Arabidopsis thaliana: one gene and its partners. The protein of the gene in region 1 interacts with the protein of each later gene in a biochemical or structural test. Each region holds a gene or a part of one and is shown in the gene's direction. Other genes may lie near its edges.

What was found. Proteins that work in one complex are often made in the same cells at the same time.
Region 2: the proteins of MPK6 (region 1) and BES1 form a complex in vitro, tested with the Arabidopsis thaliana proteins (one study listed by BioGRID).
Region 3: of the proteins of MPK6 (region 1) and MYC2, one has a biochemical effect on the other in vitro, tested with the Arabidopsis thaliana proteins (2 studies listed by BioGRID, with this or other methods).

What each region holds. Positions count from the first base shown.
Region 1 is NC_003071.7:18,136,731-18,141,529, forward strand, and holds MPK6 (MAP kinase 6), read left to right. Parts: upstream 1-1,515; 5' UTR 1,516-1,746; coding exon 1,747-1,979; exon of another isoform or gene 1,980-2,200; coding exon 2,201-2,330; intron 2,331-2,779; coding exon 2,780-2,917; intron 2,918-3,008; coding exon 3,009-3,341; intron 3,342-3,421; coding exon 3,422-3,602; intron 3,603-3,790; coding exon 3,791-3,963; 3' UTR 3,964-4,258; downstream 4,259-4,799. Other genes in the region: AT2G43780 (cytochrome oxidase assembly protein), read right to left, coding at 262-321; AT2G43795 (corepressor), read right to left, coding at 4,405-4,612, 4,710-4,776. UniProt on the Arabidopsis thaliana protein: Mitogen-activated protein kinase (MAPK) which regulates abscisic acid (ABA) responses in a MAPKKK20-MKK5-MPK6 cascade involved in root growth (e.g. root cell division and elongation) and stomatal response.
Region 2 is NC_003070.9:6,686,609-6,690,956, forward strand, and holds BES1 (Brassinosteroid signaling positive regulator (BZR1) family protein), read left to right. Parts: upstream 1-1,926; 5' UTR 1,927-2,071; coding exon 2,072-2,130; exon of another isoform or gene 2,131-2,225; coding exon 2,226-2,496; intron 2,497-2,813; coding exon 2,814-3,557; 3' UTR 3,558-3,803; downstream 3,804-4,348. Other genes in the region: AT1G19340 (Methyltransferase MT-A70 family protein), read left to right, coding at 51-190; RRA3 (Nucleotide-diphospho-sugar transferase family protein), read right to left, coding at 4,064-4,348. UniProt on the Arabidopsis thaliana protein: Positive regulator of brassinosteroid (BR) signaling. Transcription factor that activates target gene expression by binding specifically to the DNA sequence 5'-CANNTG-3'(E box) through its N-terminal domain.
Region 3 is NC_003070.9:11,797,574-11,803,169, reverse strand, and holds MYC2 (Basic helix-loop-helix (bHLH) DNA-binding family protein), read left to right. Parts: upstream 1-1,762; 5' UTR 1,763-2,256; coding exon 2,257-4,128; 3' UTR 4,129-4,826; downstream 4,827-5,596. Other genes in the region: AT1G32630 (FAM50A-like protein), read right to left, coding at 4,827-5,228.

The sequences.
Region 1 (4,799 bases):
ATATCTTCAATATCACAGTTTCATAAATACTAAGATGAGGAATAACAAGAGAGAACTCTGAAGCATGATATAACAACTTTTGATTACTCTTTTTAACATTGCAGAAGTGACTCCAGAAGCCCTGAGGCATCGCAGGACATTGACATATTGTTCATATAGTGAAAAACAGATTACACAGATTGAATACGACGAATTTTCGAATTGTTATACTTATACCTCATCCTAAGAACTACTACGCCAAGAGTAAGTGATAGTACTCACAACGAGATCAAAGATGAGTACAATCATGGTATGAATGAACAACTGAAAGTTGCAAAACATTTCAGCAAAATAGAACTTTCTTCTGCATCATAATGGAAACGGAGAGAAAATCAATTGGTCACATTCATGCCCATCAGTCTAACATAATTGTCCACAAAATCAGCGCACTTCCCTTTAACGAGTCAATCAACCATAAATCATCAACCAAAGCAAAAATAAAGGCAATTAGAAACCTAACTCTACATCTATACATCCAAAGCTAACATCTTTTAAACGCAGGCTACTGTTACTCAACCAAAGTTCTCAAAACCAGATCAAAATGTCAAAATGAAAGGAGAGCAGAAAATATCAATCAAAAATTGGTTCTTTAAGCAAATTACTCCAAAGTCCACAAAATTAAAATGGAATCGAAAGGAACCTGGTGATGAAGGTTTGATGATCACTCGAAAATCCGAAAGATACAACAAAGCTGATATTTTTTTCTTCTACAGAGAATCGTGCCTAAATGCGACAGAAGCCTAAAGTTTCCCTATTTAGTTGACAACTGGTTCGGTGACGCTTAGTGTCGTGGCCACTTACCAATCTATCGAAAACCCTAAACCCAGTAAGAGCTCTCGTGTGAAAGAGGGATAGAGGCAGAAAGCAAGCCGTCTCGAGTTCGAACCCAACTGTATAACACAAGAGAAGAGATTTATTGCTTCATTATGTAAAAAATATTGAGATGATCCTTGTAATTTTGGAATATTATCAAATTGAACCACCATACTTTTTAAAAATCCAAATAACCCTCAACCAAGCATGTTTCATGTTGTGGCCTCATTCACACTATACGACTATCAAGTTCATCGAAATTCTTGATAGAGAACTTTAAATACTTAAATAGTTAATTTAGATACTATCTAATAACTTTTGGCGGTTTATAAGTTTTTGTGTTTTTCAATCTACATAAAATTTAGCGATTTTTCATGTTACAAAAATAATCTCAAAATTAAAGTACAACCCAAAAACATAATATCAATGATAATAACTACATTTATCTATGATTCATTTTCACCCAACATTTACATTCAAAAAAATGCTGTTGTTACTTGTTAATGATAACGATTAAGGAAGGAAGTCAATGGAACAAAAAAAAAAATGGTGATAAGTCAATGTAAAACGATGCCGTTTGTAACCATAACAGTGTTAAACATGAGAATAAAGGATCAAACTTTGAACAGTGGCTTGCTTGCTTGCTTACACACACGGGTCAAGTGAAGACCCAAAAAAAAATAAAAAAATTAATAGATCCGTACGCACATGACTTTCACTTCTTGTCTCTCAGATCTGTTTTGACCCCAAAACCAACGAATATCAATTTCTCCAATTTCATTCATAATTCACTCACCCCAAAATTACAAAAAAAAAAAAAAAAAAAGATTTTCCATTTCCCTCTTCTCGATCCACCACCACCACCAACCTCAAAAGCTTTCATCTTTACCGGTCATGGACGGTGGTTCAGGTCAACCGGCGGCTGATACAGAGATGACAGAAGCTCCTGGAGGTTTTCCCGCGGCGGCTCCATCGCCTCAGATGCCTGGGATTGAGAATATTCCGGCGACTCTTAGCCATGGTGGTAGGTTTATTCAGTATAACATATTTGGAAACATCTTCGAGGTCACCGCTAAGTATAAGCCTCCGATCATGCCTATTGGCAAGGGTGCTTATGGCATCGTTTGGTAATTTTTCTCCGATTCTTTTGATTTTTGGCTTTTGCTTCTAATTGAAATAAAAAATGATTTTTGTTGATTGGGTTTTGGTAAAGTTGGTTACTTTTGATCCGCAATTTGTAAAATTGATTCCTTTGTATCGTTTTTGAGCTCTAATTATGATTGGGATTTATTTTTGTTTCAATGAAAGCTTTATCCTTTTGTGGTTTTATTTGATTTTGATTTTGCAGTTCGGCTATGAATTCTGAAACTAACGAGAGCGTTGCGATTAAGAAAATTGCTAACGCTTTTGACAATAAGATTGATGCTAAGAGGACTCTCCGTGAGATCAAGCTGCTTCGTCACATGGATCATGAAAATGTCAGTTTTTGCTCTTTCTTTGTTAACTAAGAGTCATCTGTTTATAGAGTCTTATGTAGAACATAATAGGATTGTAGATTTAAATACACTCGAAACATGGTAACTACTAGCTGATGCAAAATTGTTTAGGTAAATAGATGATGTATATATTTGATTGATATTGTATGGGCTGATTAGGTTCTGTGTATGAATGTGTTGTATCTGGTGGTTGCTTATTGCATTTAGATTTAAGGGAATATACATGAATGTTGACACAGTGTGCTTGTATTTTTTTCGGTTTGATACGGATTGTTTCGCGCTTATTCAGTAGTATGATCTTTTCCATCTGCGTCAAGATTTTAAATTCTAGAAATCAAATCGTAAAATGTAACCGTTTATCTATGTTGGCGTTTGCAACGTGTAAAACATTTCCGATTGATAAAACACTTACCATCTTTCTGTTAAATCAGATTGTTGCAATCAGAGATATTATCCCGCCACCATTAAGAAACGCTTTCAACGATGTTTACATCGCGTATGAGTTAATGGACACTGATCTCCATCAAATCATTCGGTCAAATCAAGCATTATCCGAAGAACATTGCCAGGTTTTGAGTTTTGAGATTGTTTGTTGACCTATATAACTCGACTTGAAAACGGGGACTAATTGAACTCCATTTCACTTGTCTCTTTGTGCAGTATTTTCTTTACCAGATCCTCCGTGGATTGAAATACATTCACTCTGCAAATGTGCTTCACAGGGATTTGAAACCAAGTAATCTCCTCCTGAACGCAAACTGCGACCTAAAAATCTGCGATTTTGGGCTAGCTCGAGTCACTTCTGAGAGTGATTTCATGACTGAATATGTTGTCACGAGATGGTACCGTGCACCAGAGCTTCTCTTAAACTCTTCTGATTATACTGCAGCTATCGATGTTTGGTCTGTAGGCTGTATTTTCATGGAGTTAATGGACCGTAAGCCACTCTTCCCTGGACGAGATCATGTCCATCAGCTTCGCTTGCTCATGGAGGTAAGTAGTAACCCTTCTTTGACCCAAAAATAAGCTTTGAAGCACTAAAGAAACAGACCGAGACCATTTTCTTTTTGCAGCTCATAGGAACTCCATCAGAAGAAGAGCTCGAGTTCTTGAACGAAAACGCAAAGCGATACATAAGACAGCTTCCACCTTATCCTCGCCAATCCATCACTGATAAGTTCCCGACAGTGCATCCTTTAGCTATAGACCTTATCGAGAAGATGTTAACATTTGATCCTAGACGGAGAATCACAGGTTAGTCCCTAACCTCTATACCATTTTTAACTTGCAAAATAACTGGAATTGCTTGTACGGATCATTCCAAAATCCCGAAAAAAGATTCAATCTAGTGAAGGAATAATAATAATGAGTTCTTGGTTATTTAAGAGTTAGTTAGTAGTCATCACCTCTTATTGATTCTTGATTCTCGATTCTTGATTCAGTTTTAGACGCATTGGCCCATCCATACCTGAACTCGTTGCACGACATAAGCGATGAGCCAGAGTGTACAATACCTTTCAACTTTGATTTTGAAAACCATGCACTCTCAGAGGAGCAGATGAAGGAACTAATCTACCGCGAGGCGCTTGCTTTCAATCCAGAATATCAGCAATAGTTTGAAGAACAGCATTTGGGAGATGAAGATGAGATAAGGGTTTGGCGTTATTTGGTTTGGACAACATTCTTAAAAGGAGGAAAGATCATTGTTTGTCTTTTGTGTATACTTGTGAGAGATGTTGAAGGGGATGGGTCTCAAACTTTATATTTCAGTCTTTTGGATAATTTGTTCTCTCTGTTTTTTTTTTTCCTATTCGTATTTGTAATTTGCCCTCATTTTGTTGTTGCAGTTATTTAAGACTTAAATTGTCTCAGAAATAGTTATGTTATGATAGCCCACCTTCAATTCCTCTACAAAATACTTGCCATTACTGTCAGCTTTCTTGTTTTATAAAACAGCAGGGAGAGAAATATTGCAGGGAGATGAGGATAGTACAAATCATGTCCTCGGGGTGAAAATTGAGCATTTGATGAACACAATCTCAAGTCTTGCACTGTGTCAACTCTTAAGACTGCCAAAGAATTTTGATTGTGGTGCAGGACCATCAGCCTCATCTTTACTTTGGTTTTGAGTGTCTGCCTCTAGACTTGTGTTTCCTCTCCCTCTTTGGCCTCTTAGAACTTGACCTTGACTTCCTAGATTCGTCTTTGTCACTACTTGAAGATTCAGAAGATGAGCTTGAGTCTGATGATCGCCTTTTCGAATGCTGCAAATCAATAAACACAATGTAAGCTAAAAGCTTCAAGCCAACAGAATTATAGAAGATGTTCAAACTAAACTCGATGCAGTTGTTATGTAAGCACCTTTCTCTTTTTGCTTTTCTTCCTCTTGGAATCTCTGCACTTTCTATCTGTGAGCTCTCTCTCCTTCCTATCTGTAAGATCAAATGGCAT
Region 2 (4,348 bases), on another chromosome or scaffold:
GGTCTAAAGCTCCCCTGATTCTTGTTTGTTTCCACTTGGACTTTGTGTAGATATACTACTGAAACACACTCCCGGGTCTCAACCTGCTCGGTGCCTTGAGCTATTTGCGAGGGAAATGGCTGCCGGATGGACCTCTTGGGGAAACGAACCGCTTCACTTTCAGGACTCGAGATACTTTTTGAAAGTTTAGTGGGCGCATTCCCTAGGGTGTAACCAAGAAAAAGGCTGGCTTGGGCCCTCATGATCGTTTTTCTCTATGACTCATTCTCAAGCTGGGGACAGTTAGGAGAGAACCCTTGGAAAGAAGTGGAAGGTTCGGTTCATCGCAAACGACATCGTTTGAAGAAGACAACACTAGAGTAAGCCTGAAAAAAGTATAGTGTTACTAAAGATTATTTTGTCTCAGAACTGTACCATCAATTTAGTAAGCTTTTTCCTTTTCCTTTCATAAACAGATGATGTTTCAGATAAAATTTAAATATATTATCAGTACAGTAAGATTACATACTATATTAGTATCACTATTCTGCTATTCACTAGATTTCTTTTTCTTTTTCAACAAAATATGAATAAAATAAAGGCAAAAGCGTGTTAAATATAAATTCAATAAGTGACTACTCGTTGGAAGATCATATCTGCTTTGATGGGTCTATTTGTGGGGCAAATCCACTATCCAGTTTTCCTTTTGTGTTCAATGAACTATACAATTGTCAAAAAAAAAAAAACATGAGAATTAAAGAAAATCATCATGACCAATGAAGAGCAGGTCCCAACAATAATTCCGAATTATAGGCTCTGATTGTTATAGCAATCAAACAATATGCTTACAAATCACAAAACAAAATTAACGATATTTCCAAATATAGAGCTTTCCAGTTTGACTTAATAATGTTGTGTGAATATCCTCACATTTCCATTTTCGACTCTCTTTAGTAAATTTTGAAGTAGTAGAATGATGTAGAATGTTTTGTTTTATCAATCACACAGTTTTGTGAAATCACGATTTCCATCCACTATTCAAGAAAAACATCAAGTGGAAGAAATAATAAACCAAAACCATCGCAACAAAATGCATATCACGAGTATAGAATGAACAAACTACACTGTCAAATACTTAATTTAGGACTTAAACTTCGCTTTCAGACAACTTGGTTCGGAAACTTGACCATCCGTCATGTTGATATACACAATCCATCTCAAATGTAGTAGTGAATCACTATATCAGCATGTGTTATCAAACGCAAGTTGTCACTAAGATCGGAGCTTCTAGTTCAAAATGTTGATAAGTATTACGAAAGTACAATTGAATATACCAATTATACATCCAAACACGTCCATGCTTCTCCACTCGAGTTCTCTTTGGAAATCTATATAATCCGTCGGTTTGGTATTTTACTAGTTGTACGTAGTGTCTCCCCTCATATGTATTGAGTCTTTATAGTTTGTTGCCTCGTATACGATAGAAAGTAAAGGCTAAAAAACCATACTATTTCATAAAGGGTTTATTTAGTTAACTTTTAATCTAAACCATGTATCACTCCATTTTACGTATATTCGTTTTCACAAATAATCTACTAAATAATTTTGTAATGTGATAAAATTAAAGAATAAACACATGATACATAAACAGTCAGGACAAAAGTAAGCACTCATTTTCTTCTATTCATACTATAGTGAAACACTATTTTATTTTTATCCATATACTATAGTGACAAATTAATCTAATCATTAAATGTTATGAGGCTCAAAACAATTTGTTTTCTTATTTAACATGGCCGATCCCCTCATAAACCAATCAGATGGTGTGTTTTCCGGTCATACTCGTGTAGGACCCACTTCATTACAATGGCCCCACATGTCTCTCTATCTTTTTCTCCTCTTTATAAAATCAGCTCCTTTTCTTACACAGATTTAGAGAAACACAACATAAAACGTACTTCTTCTTCAAAACGCGAAACCACACTGTAAGTTACGTACACCACCACCTATCCTCACCATTCATCATCGACACGTGGCTGGTTTAACTCAAATCAACGGTGAATTCTTTTTGCTTTTTTATTTTAAATAATGAATGAAAAGATTCTTCTATAATTCCAGCGAAGAAGAAAGAAAAAAAAAAGCGTATTCCTCGTGAGCACTAACTTCTCACTCATTCTTCTTCTTCAGCTGAATCCAAATACCCATTTCCATTTTTAACCGTGGTTGGATTGTTTTGAGAGTTGAAGGAAGAAGATGACGTCTGACGGAGCAACGTCGACGTCAGCTGCAGCTGCAGCAGCAGCGATGGCGACGAGGAGGAAACCGTCGTGGAGAGAGAGGGAGAACAATCGGAGAAGAGAGCGGCGGAGAAGAGCTGTTGCGGCGAAGATTTATACTGGTCTTAGAGCTCAAGGTAACTACAATCTTCCAAAACATTGTGACAACAATGAGGTTCTTAAGGCTCTTTGTTCTGAAGCTGGTTGGGTTGTTGAAGAAGACGGAACTACTTATCGCAAGGTCAGTATCAAACGCATTTTTACTTAGATCTGATGTTATCTGATGATTTAGCTGTTGAATCTGAAGATTTGGATTTGAAATTGGTCAAATTGGGATTTTCTTGGCTATGAATTCGAGGTTTTTAGCTGAGGAAGCTCAGTTTTATTCTAAAATTGGATCGAGATTCCTTGCGGAGAAAGTGACCTTTAGGGTTCTTCTTACTAATTTGAGAACCGAATTAGCTTTACTTTCACTTGGTTACTATATTTAGATCTCTCCTTTAGCTTTTGATTGATTGTGACATTGTGATGTTTTTGGTATTGTTCTATGAGCAACAGGGACACAAGCCTCTACCTGGTGACATGGCTGGATCATCTTCTCGAGCAACTCCTTACTCTTCCCATAACCAAAGTCCTCTTTCTTCCACTTTTGATAGCCCCATCTTATCTTACCAAGTCAGTCCTTCCTCTTCTTCATTCCCGAGTCCTTCTCGAGTTGGTGATCCACACAATATCTCCACAATCTTCCCTTTCCTCAGGAATGGTGGTATTCCTTCATCGCTTCCTCCACTTAGAATCTCAAACAGTGCTCCTGTCACTCCACCAGTGTCATCCCCAACTTCTAGAAACCCCAAACCATTGCCTACTTGGGAATCTTTTACCAAACAATCCATGTCCATGGCTGCTAAACAGTCAATGACTTCTTTGAACTACCCGTTTTATGCGGTGTCTGCACCTGCCAGTCCTACTCATCATCGCCAGTTCCATGCTCCGGCTACTATACCTGAATGTGATGAGTCTGACTCTTCCACTGTTGATTCTGGTCATTGGATAAGCTTTCAAAAGTTTGCACAACAACAGCCATTCTCTGCCTCTATGGTGCCAACCTCGCCTACCTTCAATCTCGTGAAACCTGCACCACAGCAATTGTCTCCAAACACAGCAGCAATCCAAGAGATTGGTCAAAGCTCCGAGTTTAAGTTTGAGAACAGCCAAGTTAAGCCATGGGAAGGGGAGAGGATCCATGATGTGGCTATGGAGGATCTAGAGCTCACGCTTGGAAATGGTAAAGCTCATAGTTGAGATGAAGTATACATGAACCTGTTATGTCATGTCGGAAGGAAGGATTGGAGAATGAGAATTAGTGTGTTGTTCATTCAGTTCATGGTTTTGGTTCTTGTTCTAGAATCGATATTCATTGTACCAGTGAGTTTGTTTCACAACGCATTATTTGTAGATAGAATGTTTAAGATGTATGTTTCTATTATCATTCCTTTTAGGTCTTGAAAACATTACAAATATATTACATGATTAAGTGGCTTGAAATGTAAATTATATATCGGATGATGAAACAGAGAAAAACAAGTGAGGCTAAAACAAAGACTTGGGATGTAATAACAAGATCAGAGAGGTTAAGAAAGAAAAAAAAGACTTGCGATTTTAGCCATAAGATACACAAAAATTCATAATACAAAGAGGAAAGTAGAAGGCATGAAGCAGTAAACATTGGAAAAGGGAGAAATATATTAGAATCACAAATGTCAAGAAACTCGGAAAGTTTTTTTTAGCCTATCTGCTTTTCAGGTGAATCATTCAGAACCATCGGGGAAGCTATCAAGCGCGTCTTGCTTACCGTTAACGTAGAACTCAACGACGGCTTGCATTCTATTGAGCTTATCTGGATGGTAATTCACATGAACAATCACTGGTTTCACTTTCTTCTTCAGTTCATGATTCTTTCTTACAGTCTTGAAAAGGACCTTACTGTTCATAAACTCATACATATCCATGACTCTCTTGGATGCATGTAGCGCAGTGTACTCAGGATGTGAAGGATAAAACAGTTCCTCGTTGAAAACCGCTTGGTCCCACAC
Region 3 (5,596 bases), on another chromosome or scaffold:
TTCCTAAAAAGTAAGCGAATCCAAAATTGTATGTAAATTTATATACATATGTATATATATGAACATATGTTATTATAATTATGAATAAATTATTGCTACTTAGGAACTCAATCAACAAAAGATACATAGATTGAGGCGCTTCTACAAGGTCATCCTAGTCACTTATTAACCTAACATATGTAACACATTGTATAAGCTATTCGAGCATGCCAAATCAATCAAGATCATTATATCATGTTCGACGATCTATCGAAAGTGTACACCAATTGATGATTCTCTATTTCTCTAAATCTAAGAATAACTCGAATTGGTCACATACAAATTTGGATCAGGTAACAGATATATTTTTATTTCATGCAGTTAGGAAATAACATATGGGAAATTTATATCTTACGTTCCACATTGTTCCCGAATCCCGACTAATGTCCCTCTCTTTCAACAAGGTGATAGTAAGATCTTCATTTAATCAACCCGACTCTCTACTTAAAAAATTTCAACCATTTTCTCTAAGAAGTCAGAACACTCCATCATCCCCATTCTAAGCTCAACATAACAACATAACAAGAAAACTGTCATCTTTGTTATCTCATTTCTCGAAGTAAGGGGGGAAATCTCTATATTTATCCCACTAATTATTCATTACTTAGTGGGATATTGTTGTTTTCTAGTGGCGTCACCCCCAAAGTCGACATGAAATATGATATCACGAATCACCTAGCCAAAACTTAGTGTAACATCTTCTCATAATTTTCTTATAGTAAACATGTTCAAAAGTCGACTCACAACCACCAGACAATGGTTTGGTTGTTTTCTGTTTGTTGAATCGTTCATTGACGAGTTCACCCAATACAGATGTCTCAGAAAATTATATTCAAAAGTTATTTTGGTTGTTATTTACAAAAAATGGTATACTAGATCCCAAAATTATTTTACTATTTATTGTTGGTAAAATACTCTTTAGTTTAATATGGTTTTAATAAGAAAAATCAACCGGAGTATCATTAATCTGAACGTATAAAGACATATCATTGAGTTTATCACAAGACAACGTAAATCTACAAGAACACAATAACATAAGTTTAGTGTTTTGTTAGTAAGAATTTGTCTTCGCAAGATAGAATTTTAGAAGTATATATATATATATATATATATACTATTTTATCTTAATTCTTTTTGTTTTATTTTTGGTTTTTAGGTAAGGGTTAGGAGTAATGGGACCATATTGGTGGCATGCTAAATTATTGTGATAAATTTATGCATGGAGGAAAAGATGCCAAATGATTTATGTTATTCACTCATACTCACCTAATGACCTAATCCTTGAATTATTGTTCGAACTTTAAAAATAAAATTTTAATATTGTAAATTAAACAAACAATATAACGTTGTTAGCATGTGTTTATCGTGAAATGTGAATGTAACTAAAAATATTATAAAGGAGTTCTTCCTTTCTTAAAGCATATGCTAATAATAGCGTTTGGTCAAATTAATAAATTATTAGTTTATTTAGTCGTCAACAAATTAATTAGTTAAGCAGACAAGAATCGTTTTTGGAGATAGAGATTCTCACTTGCATTTCACTCTCTTGCAATTTAACATATTAAGACAAACACAAATTTTTGCTTTAGTGAATTATTAGCAACGACTCACGTTATATAGATATGCAAATCTCAAAATTAATTAAGCTAAGACACAGTATTTGATAATTGAGATTACAAATCTTAAATTTTGATTTTTAATATTTTAAAATAACATTATAAAATAAGTAATTAATCTGTTATAAAAAATATATTCTAAAAGTTGACAAAACGACAAATATAAATCGAAAAAATAGGTGAAAAGTTATAGTAAAGTGTTTTTCCACTGAGCTCACAGTTCACTCTTTGGTACAAAAGAAACAATCAGTTAAAATCTAAGTCAATCATTAAAGAGCGTGTGATACACGTGCGACCAAACAGCCGTACGATCTCACTCACTTCCGGTCTTAATTCTTACCGCGTCGATCCAACAGTCGATGGGGTTAAATCGGGATGTGAGTTCATCGAAGCTTCTCTCTCTCTTACAACCATCCACGTTTCCCAATGAAATCTCGCCACGTAATATCCCTAACAACAAATTTACACATTCACCCTCAAGATCAGTTACACATATAATAATCGCAGACGCTCTCCATTTTTCTCCACTACGAAGACTTTCTCCTATCTCTCTCTCTCTCATTAAAAACGTGTTTTTTTTTACCGGTCACCGGTTTATGGAATGACTGATTACCGGCTACAACCAACGATGAATCTTTGGACCACCGACGACAACGCTTCTATGATGGAAGCTTTCATGAGCTCTTCCGATATCTCAACTTTATGGCCTCCGGCGTCGACGACAACCACGACGGCGACGACTGAAACAACTCCGACGCCGGCGATGGAGATTCCGGCACAGGCGGGATTTAATCAAGAGACTCTTCAGCAACGTTTACAAGCTTTGATTGAAGGAACACACGAAGGTTGGACCTACGCTATATTCTGGCAACCGTCGTATGATTTCTCCGGCGCCTCCGTGCTCGGATGGGGAGATGGTTATTACAAAGGTGAAGAAGATAAAGCAAACCCGAGACGGAGATCGAGTTCGCCGCCGTTTTCTACTCCGGCGGATCAGGAGTACAGGAAAAAAGTGTTGAGAGAGCTTAACTCGTTGATCTCCGGTGGTGTTGCTCCGTCGGATGACGCTGTTGATGAGGAGGTGACGGATACGGAATGGTTTTTCTTGGTTTCGATGACGCAGAGCTTCGCTTGCGGTGCGGGATTAGCTGGTAAAGCGTTTGCAACGGGTAACGCGGTTTGGGTTTCCGGGTCAGATCAATTATCCGGGTCGGGTTGTGAACGGGCTAAGCAAGGAGGAGTGTTTGGGATGCATACTATTGCGTGTATTCCTTCGGCGAACGGAGTTGTGGAAGTCGGGTCAACGGAGCCGATCCGACAGAGTTCGGACCTTATTAACAAGGTTCGAATTCTTTTCAATTTCGACGGCGGAGCTGGAGATTTATCGGGTCTTAATTGGAATCTTGACCCGGATCAAGGTGAGAACGACCCGTCTATGTGGATTAATGACCCGATTGGAACACCTGGATCTAACGAACCGGGTAACGGAGCTCCAAGTTCTAGCTCCCAGCTTTTTTCAAAGTCTATTCAGTTTGAGAACGGTAGCTCAAGCACAATAACCGAAAACCCGAATCTGGATCCGACTCCGAGTCCGGTTCATTCTCAGACCCAGAATCCGAAATTCAATAACACTTTCTCCCGAGAACTTAATTTTTCGACGTCAAGTTCTACTTTAGTGAAACCAAGATCCGGCGAGATATTAAACTTCGGCGATGAAGGTAAACGAAGCTCCGGAAACCCGGATCCAAGTTCTTATTCGGGTCAAACACAATTCGAAAACAAAAGAAAGAGGTCGATGGTTTTGAACGAAGATAAAGTTCTATCATTCGGAGATAAAACCGCCGGAGAATCAGATCACTCCGATCTAGAAGCTTCCGTCGTGAAAGAAGTAGCAGTAGAGAAACGTCCAAAGAAACGAGGAAGAAAGCCAGCAAACGGTAGAGAAGAGCCACTAAACCACGTCGAAGCAGAGAGACAAAGACGCGAGAAACTAAACCAAAGATTCTACGCGTTACGAGCGGTTGTACCAAACGTTTCAAAAATGGATAAAGCTTCGTTACTCGGTGACGCAATCGCTTACATCAACGAGCTTAAATCCAAAGTAGTCAAAACAGAGTCAGAGAAACTCCAAATCAAGAACCAGCTCGAGGAAGTGAAACTCGAGCTCGCCGGAAGAAAAGCGAGTGCTAGTGGAGGAGATATGTCGTCTTCGTGTTCTTCGATTAAACCGGTGGGGATGGAGATTGAAGTGAAGATAATTGGTTGGGACGCAATGATTAGAGTTGAATCTAGTAAGAGGAATCATCCGGCGGCGAGGTTGATGTCGGCGTTGATGGATTTGGAGTTGGAAGTGAATCACGCGAGTATGTCGGTGGTTAACGATTTGATGATTCAACAAGCGACGGTGAAGATGGGTTTTAGGATCTATACGCAAGAACAGCTCAGAGCAAGTTTGATTTCAAAAATCGGTTAAAAGGGTGTGTTTTGGGAAGTTTAGAAAGTTATGGGGTCAAATCATAATTAATTCGTTTTAGTGGCTTCAGTAATTTTGTAGATTTTAGTTTTGTAAGAAAAAAATCTTAAAATAGAGCGACAAGTTTCTTCTTTTGCTCTATGTTTGAGTCTGTATCGTTTTATTGTTGTATCTCCTCAATGAGTAAACTTGTATATATTGATATGAGTAATATGAGTTAGTTACTGAAAAAGTTAATATTTCTACACAATTTCATATGATAAAAAAGAAAAAGAAATCGAGTATAAATGGTCTAAAATAAGAGACTAATGGTCATGATCACTGATTTTGTACATATGGTCAAAAATGTCTCTCCTAACACATCAAACTTAGGAAGAGAGACAAATCTTAAGTAAGTTAAGTCGAGAGGGAGACCATATGCACAGTTTTCTTAAGTCAGTGTGATAATGTTTCCTCTTGTCTAATCAATAAGACACAACACACATAAACCTTAGTATAATACTACATGGATCTTCGAATACACAGACAGAGTCACAGACAAGAAAAAGCAAATCACTTGCTTTTGTCTTGATCATTTCCAATATCTACAAAAATAGAAATCTTGAAGAGATTATTGAATCTGAAATCTGCTTTGTTTGTGCATTCTCTTCCTCGATCACCTCGCAAGATCCTCTAGCAACCTGACCAATCCTCAAGAATCAAGTTTTCTTCTTTCTAGCTTCAGCTTTCCAATCTCGACGATGCGGCCTTATCTTCCGTTTAACCGACTCACAAGAACTATCTTGAGCCTTGTTCATAATCAAATGAGCTCTTCTAGCTTCTTTTTTCCAATTTCTATCGCAATAAACCCGCCGCACAAAGTTCTCAACATAACCACTAGGTCCATTAAACTCTAGTCCCTCGTCTTCTTCTTCTTCTTCTTCTTGTTTTCCCATTGTCTCAAACGAAAGATTATCATCGTTACCCGCTTCTTCTTCCCGCATCCGTTTCCTGGCTCGATACCTACGTTGTCTTTCTCTGTTCTTCATTCGACGGATCATGACTTCATCTTTGTCTATCAACCCTTCTTTCTCATCAATGCTCAAACCACCATTGCTCATCTTTCCTTCAATTCCAATTACTCAAAACACTGATAAAACAAACCAAATTCTATTATAAGGTAATGCATTTAAAGGAAAGAATCTAAAGCTCTATAAAACCCTAGAAGCTTCTTAATTCAAAAGCTGAAGACACAAAACACACACAAATGTAATTTTGCAACTAGAGGAGGACCAAATTAGAGATTCGTTAATAGCAATCAACCAGAAATGTAAGACTTCCAAAGAATCAAAATTAGCTAATCGATACAACTAAAAATGTTATTTTGCTTTGCTTTCAAGTTGAGAAAACAGAGAAGTTCGATACTCAAAGAACCTGAATGATTAATTCGATGATTAGGTTAAGAGGCTAAAACCCATATATTACCAAT